Linked DNA regions of Drosophila melanogaster. The protein of the gene in region 1 interacts with the protein of each later gene in a pairwise test. Each region holds a gene or a part of one and is shown on either strand. Other genes may lie near its edges. The genes, in order: CG33655, CG43386 and CG12699.

Evidence for each region.
Region 2: the proteins of CG33655 (region 1) and CG43386 interact in a two-hybrid assay, tested with the Drosophila melanogaster proteins (one large-scale study listed by BioGRID).
Region 3: the proteins of CG33655 (region 1) and CG12699 interact in a two-hybrid assay, tested with the Drosophila melanogaster proteins (one large-scale study listed by BioGRID).

What each region holds. Positions count from the first base shown.
Region 1 is NT_033778.4:21,317,204-21,321,645, reverse strand, and holds CG33655 (uncharacterized protein), read left to right. Parts: upstream 1-1,628; 5' UTR 1,629-1,682; coding exon 1,683-1,781; coding exon of another isoform or gene 1,782-1,785; intron 1,786-1,842; coding exon 1,843-2,067; 3' UTR 2,068-2,243; coding exon of another isoform or gene 2,244-3,565; 3' UTR 3,566-3,629; coding exon of another isoform or gene 3,630-3,799; 3' UTR 3,800-3,853; downstream 3,854-4,442. Other genes in the region: CG30394 (uncharacterized protein), read left to right, coding at 1-1,485; CG9485 (uncharacterized protein), read right to left, coding at 2,244-3,565, 3,630-3,799, 3,860-4,037, 4,094-4,442.
Region 2 is NC_004354.4:9,974,403-9,979,282, reverse strand, and holds the start of CG43386 (uncharacterized protein), read left to right. Parts: upstream 1-1,877; 5' UTR 1,878-2,124; intron 2,125-4,880. Other genes in the region: CG15252 (uncharacterized protein), read left to right, coding at 1-111, 166-234, 294-437, 504-563, 689-1,078.
Region 3 is NT_033778.4:17,245,964-17,249,227, forward strand, and holds CG12699 (uncharacterized protein), read right to left. Parts: upstream 1,421-3,264; 5' UTR 1,354-1,420; intron 1,266-1,353; 5' UTR 1,260-1,265; coding exon 822-1,259; 3' UTR 567-821; downstream 1-566. Other genes in the region: CG18469 (uncharacterized protein), read right to left, coding at 1-306.

The DNA.
Region 1 (4,442 bases):
ATAATTGGCTTGGTGGGTTCCACCATTGGCGTAGCCATTTGTATAATGTTCCCCGCATCCAGTTTTCGAAAAATCATCAAAAAGGAATCTATGGAACGTACGCTTGCCCAGTTTGTATTCGTAAGTGGATTTCTATTGATGATCCTGGGAACGTATGCGAACCTAAGTGCAATTGATGAAAAGAGCTCCGGCCCGGAGTTTGATATGGTTGCCATAGGCACCCCTCTGTATCCCGATGGCCAAGTGCCAGCTGTCGTCGGCGAGCTACCAAAACATTTGGCCAAAGAATCCATTGACAGTGAAAAGAACCTATTGTTAAAGAAACTGGATGTCCAAAATCCAGACAAATTAAAACAAACCGTTGAGGATAAAGTTGTTGATATGCCGGAGGTAGTGCAATCAGCTTCCTCCGACAACCCACCGTTGCCACCACTGCCCATCGATGAAGTCCATGTAGTTCCCATAGATAGTAAAAATTCTGAAACGGATATTAAAAAACTACCAGTAGAAGCCGTAGAAGCAAACCCACCAGAAGCCAAACCACTCGATGTCAACCTTACCGTGGATAAGCCCAAGAATAATCCGCCTGCTGTTGCTGCATCGCTTCCAGATAAACCAAAAATTGGATCGAGCTTGTTATCAGCAAGCAATACAATTGATGGAGCGGCCATCAAGAAGGAGGAGGACGTGGCTGCCGAAGAGCAAAAGGAAAGTAAGGCTAATGCAGATGAGCTACTCAAAACCCAAAAGGAATTAAAGGAGACCAAAAAACTATTGGCGAAAACCGTTGGGGAGCTAAACGAAGAGTTGGCCAAGAAAAATTCATTTAATCAGCCACCTTTGGAGTTACAGAAAGATGAGCCTTTGGATACTGGTGCGAAATTTGCCGAGGAACCGAAGAAGGCTGAAATTAAGCTTAAGGAGTCGCAGCCAGTTGCGGACGAAAAGAAGGAGAGAAGGCGGCAGGCATCGTTAATGGACATACTCACGGAAAATACACATTTGCGCGATGAAAAGGAGGCCCATGCCGGCGTTTTTGAACCTCTATCCTACAAAACCGGAGAGTTACTCAGGAATTCGACCGTAGATAAAGAAGCGCTTATCAAACGATTGCCCATTCCACTAGCCCTAATGGTGAATTCTACTCAGCCGAAATCATCGAATGACTCGGAGATCAAGAAACCCAACCTTGAAGACAATGTAGAGGCCATTCGCCGGGAGCTGCTCAATCTGCGAAGTTCGGCGGATGCGACAGAGCAGCCACCGGCAAGGGTTAAACGTGAGGCCTCAAACGACGAGAACTGCCTACGCCAGCCCAAGCTGGATGAAGTGAATAATAATGTGGCTGCAGCTGCCTTGAGCTTGAACATGGAAAGTATTGGACGCGATCTCAAATCCATCAAAGATGATGACGTCGAGATAGTTACTGAAAACGAATCCTACCAAGCGAGTCCAAATGGAACCCAAACTTCGCTGCAGACGTAATGCGGATAGTTTACAACTATGCAAAGCTTTATGTATATAACCTTTACATGTATTTATTTAGTTTATAAGAAACTGTAGACTAGAAGTATATACAAATTATATACAGTTCATATGACTTGGGAATATTGTGTCAAATTTCTCGTGGAGTTGCTAGCAAAATTGTATGTGAAGCCCAGGTTTTTTGTAATTCCATCAAAATGTCCATCGTCCTTGATGTTATCCAACAAGTTGTGTTGCAGAAAGCTTACGATCTAACATGCGAGGCAGCCATTTTAGCCTTGAGAAAATGTGGCAAAGTGAGTAGGTGTAATATTTTTAAAATAATATTTATATCGCAATGGTTAATTTCTATTTAAGCTGAAAATAGAGGATGGTAAATCGAAAGCAAAGCGTGAAAAGCCTCTACCTCCGGTCAAGCCTATTTCCCAGGAAGCGGTTTCACCAATGAAAGCTCCAACGATTCCCGAGGCTAACACCATTCCAAAATATACGGGACGGGACATGCCTCGAAAGAACTTTGGCTCCATCGATCCCCCCCAATGCTCCTGCATGCGTGTGTGCCGAGATAGTTACTTCTCTTAGACGAAAAAGAACGCTTAAAAACAATTGCAACTTTAATAGAATAGGAATAGCAAAATTTCAAGGGACCTCAGGCATCGAATCTCATTCCATCTTGTATCCGTACAATTATCAAACGTAACACTAATAACAGTTTTTGGTAGCAACTAACAGGTTTGAATATGAGTATTTACGGTGGTTTAGGCCACGTCTGCTCCCAAGGAGTGCAGATCGTACAGGACTTCCAAAATGGCAGCAACACTCCAGGCCTGCGTGCGACAGGAGTCACCGCAGTAGGAGCCATTATCGTTGGTCAACTCGGGCAATCCGCGCCAATGGGATGTCTGTAGCTCTCGGAGATGGGCCCGTAGTATGGCCCAGGTCTCGGCAATGGTCTCGTCCAAATGGCCACACTTTTTGGCGAAGATCAGGCGCGCCCGCAGGTAAAAACCGATGGGCCATACCCACTCCGGCCCCTGGTGGTAGTTTGCGCCATGGGCTACAGTGCAATCGGTGGAGTCATTTGAGTTGTCATAGTTGGCCCTATAGTTCCAGTCCTCGGGATCCATCGTCTTCATGCCCAGCGGTCCCAGAAGATACTTTTTGGCGCGCTCCAGTGCACGCCAGGCATTCTGAGGATTGCACAGGTCGGGAGCCACGGTCAAGGTGATGGGGAAGTTGCATCGCAGCTGGTAGTCCGTCCAACTCTGGGTGGCTCCATAGCTGTCCTTGTAGATAAGCTTCTTGTTGGCCACCGAGCAGGTTTCCGATTCGGATACAAAGAAATACTTGTCAAAGTTGTTCTTGATGCGATCCGCCCACTCCTTGTAGCTCCACTTGGTCACTTCGCCCGATGGACCCTTTCGTTCCACGCCGGTGTACGGGATAACCTCCTTTTCGGCTAGGCTTTGCATAAACCGGAGTACGGCATACTGGAGGCCAACGAGCTCCACGGCTGATCCGTCGCGCGGCGTACTTGGACGTCCCTTGTTTCCGGCCTTCTGTGAGGATCCCATTTTGTCCATCCAAGTGCCGCAGTTGAAGTTATTGCCTCCGAATACAAAGCCAGTCTCCGGGTGAATTCCGATCTGATTGTTAAAGCCCTGGTCCACCATGTGCGCATCGATCTCATAGCCTGCATTGCGCTCCCTATACTGCAAGCCCTGAAAATGCACCTGCAGTGCCTCCTGCATCACGTCGAAGAGAAGTTGGTCGAAGGCACCTGGAGCATGGGCATCGGCATCGTCGTACGGAAATATGCGGGACACCTTGTCCTTCAGGATCTCGGCACCCTTGGGGGCATCCTCCACATACTGCTTGATGCAGTACATCCACCACCAGATAGCATCGCGGCAGTTGAATCTCGGCTTGCTGCCGCTGTCCAAAAGATTCGGAATGAGTCCGTGTCGAAGGGTCTGACCAAATCCAATGATGATGAAGCGAGCCTCGTTGTAACGGCCAGTGAGGAACATGGAGCCACGCAGAGCGATGAAGGTATCACGGCCCCAGCACCGCATATAGCCTACATAAATGGTTGAATATTCCATTATTCCGTTTCGATTGTTAAATATAATAGATAAACTCACCCGTTGAGAAATGCGGCAGACCAGCAGATAGAGTCACACATTGCTTTGGAGGCTTGGGTGGACTTAGAGCAGGACTGAATCCCGGCAGATTGGCCGACTTGCAAACGGAGAGGAACTGCAACGTGGACAGGGCCAGGGATTGTGGGAAACTGTGGCCATTCTTAATGAAGCTGTAAAAATTAAAGACTTAATAAAAACTCCATGAATGCAGTCGGCTCTAATGGACATACTCTGGCATTAGTTCGTTGACCTGGTTGATGAGCACATTGTAAACCCCGCTGACAATGGCATCAAAGTAGCAGGGTATGAGGTAGCGTGGAATATTCTTCAGTGGCTCAAAGGTAGCTTTGAACCAGGCGGAGAGTGGTTTCAGGTCTTCATAACTAGTTAGGCGATCAGAAATGTAATCTGAAAAGAATTATGTTGTAAAGTAACTACATAAATCTCTATCTTTACAAACTTACCCATCATCCAGTTTCCGTCGCGCAGATTGTTACAAAGCGGATGTCCCAAGTCATTTTTAGGCGAAATCTCCGTCAACAGGGAAATGAATCCTTGCAATCCGCAGTAAACGATCTTTCCAAAGTTGGGAATGTCGTAGGCGGTGCCACCTTTGCCAAGATCCCTCTCCTCATCATCGCAGCTGAAAAGGGCACCACTAAGTGCCACCAGATCCAACTTGGAGACGATAGCCTGCAGCTGGGAATACTCCTCGCCAGATCCAATACGCAGGGCAGCCGAGATTTTCTGGAGCTTATCGAAACTGGTGCGAGGACCAGGATGCATAGACACTCTGATGGCCACCACAGTGCC
Region 2 (4,880 bases), on another chromosome or scaffold:
GATGACAACGATGACCTGGGCGATGGGGATGAGCCCGGTGATGGCGGAGACGGAGCAGGTGGTGGAGGAGGCGGTGGCGGTCTGGTTGGCATCATTAGCAGCCTGAGCGGTGTAAGTGGAAGGCTAAGAAACCCATAAATATTTATTTAAAATGGATTTATTTAGGGTGAAGGTGGTTCCGATGTGGGTGCCTTAATTGGTGCCCTTACCGGTGTGATATCCACTTTATTTGGAGTAAGTATTGAAGTTTTCCAATCAATCAAGGGTATTTAAATAGAAAAACTATCTTTTAGCCTGGAGGCCTAGATGTGCAAGGTCTGATTCAAACGGGAACCTCGCTGATCTCTGGTCTTCTGGGCGGGAATAAGAACTTTGGCCTCGTGTTGGGACAATATGTGGGCACTGCTTTGGATGGTCTCTCTGGAGGTGGTGGAGCGGTGGGTTCCTCAAACCTATTTTCATGAATTTCCAGTCATTTTACTTGCATATATTATTTTTTCCAGATTAACAATGGCCAGTTTATAGGCAACTTCTTGGGCACTGTGCTGGCCGCATTGAGCGCTGTATTTATATATTTTGCTTATATATATATTTACCTTCTAGATCCCAACCTCATAACTGTGTTACTAACCCCTGAACGTCATTTATTTAGCGAGTGCAATAAACAACATTCTACAATCTTTAACAGGATCCCGAGGAGGAGGGCCCACCGCAACCATTGACCTTCACCAAGAACCTGATCACCAGCTTCCTGGAGGCAAAGTTTCGACCAATTTCAGAGGACGGCTCAGAGGAGCGACACGGAAGTGCGGAGTTGCCACGCCCGCGAAAGAAGAAGGAGGGCGGTGGATGGGCAGCTGCGGCGGCAAATAACTTTGATTCTGGAGGATTTGTGAAGCAAGTGGCCTCCCATCTGGTGAGCAATGCCCTTGGATTGATTTTGAATGCCGGTCTGGGAGCCGCTGGAGGAGCTTCGAGTGCAGCCAAGAATATTTTCGCCAGCAGCAGCATGGGTCATCATGCCAAGCCGGCAGATCACCATAGATCTTGGAACCCCTACCATAATGAGCCATTCTAGCCAGCTTAGTCATCACATAATCATAGTTACGTTAATCGTTTGTGTTAAACCCATTTTTTTTTTGCTAGTTCGTAACCGAAATAAATAAAGAAGTGAGGAGAAAGACTTGTTGGTCACTTGGGCAGCTAAGAAAGCGTAAAAGAGGGGCTCTAAATCAAGTGGCGTAACAGCTTGGACAGCGGCTGATGCAAGAGATCCGATGGAATTCAGTGGGAGCCACTGCAATGAACCACTCCCCCAAGGATGCGGTGGGGCAAATCACTGGATGGAAACGCAAAAAGCGAAAGCTCGCAATGAGCGGAAGTAAAAACTAAGTAAAGGTTGAGGGGTGAAATAGCTTGTTTGGGTTCATTTCCTCAAACTAAAGTTCAGTGGAAGGTAGAACAGGGGAATGAACTACGGATTTCGGCTCAGGAGTTTCGCTTCAAAAATTAGTTTTAAATACATTTGGCAATACCTTAATTAACTAATATTTAAATTAAAAAGATAGAATTAATATATATTTTGTAACCCAATAGCCTAATAGCGAATATTTTTGGATCTTCTTGACCCAAGAGTTTTCCCTGAACCTTTCTCCGTGGGCCAACTACTTGGTAGCTTGCCCAATGGAGCGGGCATTGTGTCACTTTCTACTGATTACAGGTTTCATTAAAATGCTTTTACTTGTTTACTTCTGGTGCTTTCTCTGACTCTCTCGCTCTCTCTCTTCCGCCTGCTCTCTCTCTCTCTCTCTCATTCTGTCTTTCTCTTTTTTTTTTTTGAAGTGGGCTGAATATTTTTTTAGCGGCGAGTTTCAGTTTTCAGTTATGCGTGAATCTTTCACAAGACAAAGTGACATTTTGCGGGCCGTTTAGTTGTCGCGTTTTTAATTTGAAAAACTTCAGGTTGTGTTTATTGTTTTGTGTTTTTCTTGTGCGCTCAGTGTTTGTGCTGGTTTATTTGCATTTTGAAATTGTTTATGAACTCAATTATATATTTGGGTGCTTCGGAGAGTTCGCATTGCAATTAAGTTTGGCAAGCCGCATTTTTATTTTATTATATTTCGGGTGAGTATGTATATAAGGCGGCTGAAAGCCGAAAAAAAGGGAAATAAGCGACAATCCCAGCTCAAAATGTATGTCAAAACGAAAGACTTAGGCAACGAACTTGCTAACTGGGCTAAGCCTCAACTGAAAATGCTGGCATAGGTCAGGTCTGTTCCAAAAACAAACAACACTACGGGGGGCTATTAATGGAGGGGGTTATTGAAGAGGGGGGGGGCGCTATTGGTTAGCGTTCGTCCATTAATCGCTTTGGCTACCGAAATTTGGCAACAGCGCCGACGTCAACAATGCAAAAGTGAAGATTCAAATGCGTTAATTGCTTCATAAATCAATTAACAAGAGCCTAACCAATCGTAAGCCGAAAAAAGGGAGAGTTTTATTGTTCTCCTATGACTTACGCTTTGTGTTCAGTGTCATATTTGATTGTTGATTATATTAAGCTATATGGATGGTGTCCAACATTTACTGGTTGACGTGCTACTTAAAATGCTATATAAATTACAAATTTTACATACATTTTAAAAAGGTTTTTTGTTTTTATAGGGAAGTGATTTGAGGGAACTTTCCTTTTTACTCTATTTCATTCGCATTTCATTTGAATTTTCGGGGTTAACTACCTGGTAACCTACTACTCATATTCGGCCTGACCCCTGGTCGCTGTCATGATTGAGGATGAACCAGAGTCAGAGCTAAAAAGACACTCAAAAATTAAAAAAAAAAACAAAAAAAATCACCAACTTGTCTGGGCCATGCAAGAGTGGCCTGGCCCAAAGAAACCGGTAACGGTCTCAAGGTCGTTCGTCGAATCGATGGCTCTGGCCAGATAAGCCTTAGCCCAAGATACAGCAGCCAGTTTAGCCATCAACGCGCTTTGGGCCAAAAGCTAAAAGCTATCAGCCATCAACTCTAAGGCATAAGCAATAACAAAACTCAGTGATGATAGCTGGGCCAAAATAAAAAATAAATAAATAAAATCGAAAACGAGGAAAAAAGCGAAAGTGAACGCCATGAAAGTGGAGCAGTCGAGCTGGAAATCCGCCGAAGGCAAACCGGCGGGGGGGGGGGGGTTGCGTCTCTTCATAAACAAAAAGATATATATGCAGGTGTCATATCTAAGTCGGTCAATAAGTTTATTGACCAGGCGACGCTCCAAATTGTGCGGTTGTTTCGGGAGAGTTATGCAAATCGATTGTGGCAACCCGATATCGAAAAGCGTAGAAACTTATGGCCGTTAAACAATGCACCCTTTTATATTTTTCGGGCCGATTAATATGCAAATCTCGAAATTTCTTATCCACCACTCGATATGTTGTGGCTTTATGTTTCAATTATGAGCGTTAAAGTCCGTATCGCAGATCTTGTATTATACGAATTTTCACACATTTTTTATGATGATATTTTTCCTGGGCAGTAAATTATAAGTTGATGCGGGTCTGGGCGAATGACTGTTTATGTTATTACCGGAGTGTTTTTGCCTATTATAAAATATGTTTAATACTCTTGAGTTTTATTTGCTTGGCAATTTCATAAGCCTTTGGCATTTTCGTTTAGCTTAGAAGTGATTTCCAATTTACGCCTCATTTAACAGCACTAAGTTCTGCACGGCAATTAAGCAAAGTGATCAGATTTGAAATGCCTTTCAAAATATCTAATGCCAAAATGATATTATTACGGGGCGACCTTCGCCGGCCGCCAGTGGCGAGATTTATTAATACTATAATTACAATAATGGCTGAACAAACAAATAAACGCTACATGACAGCAGAATCTGAATCTCCGGCAACCTTTGCGCAAAATCAAACGAATCATTTTTGCCTGGCCAAGAACAAAGTTCGTTTGTCCGATTCTAATACTAATTCTCAGACTGAGTTTTCAGTGAATGGTGGTCAGTTATTTAGTCTGTCGGCAACGCCTTTTCCAATTAAATTCGACCCGGCTATTGGGTACAAAGCAAAAGCACTCGATGCGAAAGATTGGCTTACAAACGGTCTTAATATAAACCGAATTAACTTTATTTTTCCATTAGAGTATTACACATGTGGTGCAAATCTTCGTGGGATTTGCTAAGTTAATTGCAACTTTTTAGAGATTGTCTACACACAACAACTAAAAGTCATTTGAACGTATCTCTTAAAACAAAAATATCAATTCTTTGGCAAGACGTTCTATTGCTTAGTGATTGGTTTTAAAGATATATGGTACCTCTTTTTTTTATATCTTGCCTATACCTGGCACATATTTATTTTGGCATATTTTAGATATTTATTAATAAGTAATCCCAGTCTTAAAAACATTTCCTTGGTCAAATGTCAAATGTACTGGCCGTAAAACACTTGCGCAAAGCCATCAGCAGTTCATTAGAGGCCCATTGCTGCGGCGGAGTTGAATACATTAGATGGAAATGGATGCGGAATCGAGTGCTGGCTTCTCCTCCATCTGGTTAACGAGCCGCACTCTCGGTCCAAATGAATTGGTTAATGGGTAATGGTTATGACCGTCTTCCCAACTTGCGGCGTGTAAACGGTTACTCGTTAAGCAAGGGGGTGCCCAATAGACCTGTTACCCGTTTCACTATATCTATTTTCCATTTTAATTTTATTATTAATTTTTTTTTCTCTGTTTTTCCTGCGTGCACTTAGCGGAGTCATTGTGGCCAGAACAGCGATGAGCAGGTGACATTAATGCCATGGCCCAAAACTGAGCAAAACCACACAAAAAAAAAAGAAAGAAAAAATAGCAGCCAGCGCATAATGCATAAT
Region 3 (3,264 bases), 4.1 Mb from region 1:
AGAATCGCCTTCCTCGCCATCGGTATCACTCTCTGCCTCAGAGCCAGATTCATTGTCCTGCCAGGGATTAGACTTCCAAAATCTTTGCTTCTGGAGGCGCAACTGTTTGGCCAACCGGAGCACACGCAACTTGACCCAAATGACTCTGGTGGCATAGACGGCAACTCCGGCTGCCGTCAACCATGGGTGTTGCATCATCATCCGGGCTCCGGAAGTTGTGGCGTCCGCATCGCGAGGCGTGGTATCGGGAACTGGCACGGCAGCAACCCCTTCAGAATCTGTGTCCTCAGATGCGGACTCACTCATGTTGTATTTCCTGCCTGGTAAAGGGAATTAATCACAATAATCTTATATAAAAGCAGTTTTTTGACAGTTAGGTGTATGGTATCGAGATGACGTGAATCCAAATTTGTTCTTGAAAATCTTAACACAAAAGTAAAGCCCTTGGATGACCACACCGATACGAAAGAATCTGTTGCCATATGGGAAAACTGAAATCGAACCTGCCCATGTGTCGTAGTAGACGATTTCTTATTTCCCCCTCCCAAAACGAATTGCTCTTTGTTAATAGGGTACCATACTTTCATCGCAGCATTTAATATAAACTCATAAAAACTAATTCAAATATCGCAATGTGGTACAAGAAATTTGGTTAATGTTTTAAAACTAACAATTTGTGTCCCCCAATGTGGTGGTACATGTCAAACATTGTCCGTGGATCCTCCCCTACGGAAAACGCAAGCATTACAACAATTAGTGTAGTTGTCCAGTGTGTGTGTGCATGTTCATCCTTCCGCGGTCCTTCATCCCCGATTCGAACATCAGCAGTCAGTAGAGACTTCGATCGGGCGATGGCATATATCCACACGGTTTGGCTCGAATCCCGGTCCCTCTGCTGCATCTTCGACTTGGGGCCCGACGACGTCTTCGTCCTCTGCATCTGATTCTGCATCAGATTCTGCATCAGATTCTGCATCATATTCTGCATCAGATTCGGAAACATCTTCATCAATAGTCTGCAAGGGCTTAGACTGCTTCGCCAGTTGATTTTTGAGCCGTTTTTCCTGTTTAGCCAGGCCGATCTCACGGAACTTGACCCACATGACCTTGGTGGCATACATGGCCACTGCGGCGGCCGTCAGCCATGGGTGGATCATCATCATGCGGGCACCAGCTGTGGTTGTATCAGCATCGGATGTAGTGGTATCTTCTTCTTCAACAGCCTCACCCGGAGATCCTGGGGCTTCTTCTTCTGACATTTTGGACTGCAAGAAAAAGAGAAGTTAAATTTCTACCGTGTACATTTCTAAAAAAAAAAAAAAAGAATATGAAATTTTTTTCGTTTTTACTTGCCTGTTGGAGGTGAAAAAACGGCTAGGTCGAAATGAATTTATCTTATAGTAATAGTTGTTAACGGTTGGGGTGATGGCGTTGGAATGAATTGTTATACCGGCTAGGTGTTCCAGGTCTTGGCATTTCGAAAAATCGGCCTGCTGAGGTTGAATTTAAAACCGTTCAAGTAGGAAGTACAATGGGATGGAGGGAGTAAATATTAAGTAAAAAGTAAATAATATATAAACTTTTAAAATACACGAAATTCTGTTGCCTACTAATAGCAAATTGATTTTGAGCTTGCTGGTTTTTTAGGAGATCAATTCTGCGCTTATTTAAGCGTACATTTGACCGCACTTATTCAAAATAGCCCATAGTACTTTCGAAAGGCCTGCTAAAGTTAGCTCTGAAAATTGGATTCAAATGGTTTTAAGCCTGCAAAGCCATTTGGGCCTGCAAAACTAATGACGTCTGTAGAATATTCTAGATGAACTGGCACTCTCCATCGTTTTATCTCTGCTGACTCCTCCAGTGTGGTGTGTGATTTATATTTCATAAGTTGATGAATTTTGTAACAAGTTGTCACATTTGCCAGCTGAGAGTTGTAGTCAGCCCCGGTTCTCCCTTAACCCACCAGCTCCCCCTCCACGACCCTATCATTTCGGTTCCATCCAAGCGACAAATGACACAACGCAAACAAATGCAATTTGCATTTGCATTTCGGCGTATACGTACGTGTGTGCTTGTCTGAGTCGGTCTGCACATATGTGTGTGTGTGTGTGTGCGTACCGGGTGGTGTTAATTTCATTCACAAACATTTCAATTTCGTTGCCAGTTTTAACTTAAGACACACAATAAACTCTATTAAAATATCTTTGCTTAACATACAACATACTTGTACTTCCTCAAAATTTAGTCTTATGAGGTAATCAATTTGTTACTTTATTGCGCTTCTAAAAAAAAAAGACAAATAAAAAAGCAAAAAATACTTTAAAAATATTCCAGTTAAATATAGCCTTAATATCTGAAGAGTAGTAAACACAAATATTCCTCAAATAGTTTTTACCATTCTTTTAAGTGATCTACAGTCTATTCGATTCAAGGTGTCACGACCATAAATTCGTCTCGATTCCGACTCGATTGGCTGTGGATTGTTATGTGCTGGGAAATCATAAATGTGCAACGAGGCGTATGAGCAACACACGGAATCCATCTCGACCTGCCACAGATGTAAATTTTGATCGATGTCCAATGCGTAGCTGAAACTGAGAAACCACTAGAAAGGCAACTTCAGTTACGTTGCCAATTGGCTCGTCAATCTGTGTATATTCGCCGATAGGATGGATATCCTTTATCCTCTGTAAAAAATTATTCAAAGCTTATGATTATTTATGCATTGACATGTATTTAATGCGAAATATAATATATATGGCTTATAGTGGCAGACTATTTTCTTTTTGTGCCACTTGGCGATTAAATCATATGGCGAGAACAATGAGTGATATTTCACGAGGTCTGCATAATTTACCGCTCCGGAAGTCGCCGCGGATGTTGAGAGTTTAAATGCGGCGTTTGTTTTTCCACCCGCTGCCTATCCATTCCTATCCATAAGTAGGCTACACCAGGCGACTTGCACTGCGTTTTATTATCCTCACTTTTTTACAACGCCTGCATTGTTAGCCTGCTGCCTTTGCTGTGCCCTGCTTCTTTTATTTCATATATATATATTTTTTTTTGGCTGCAATTTTATTGTTGCACAAAGTTTCCAATTGCACAATGAAAATGGAAAGGGGAAAACCACCCTCGAAACTTTCGACCCACGCGCCCAAAGTTGTCAGGGCTTGCAAATGCATTAAAACAATGCCAAAATTCGGAGGCCCAAAAAAAAGAGAGAAAGTGCTTTACCAAAAAAAGCATATGAAGCCGGTAGAT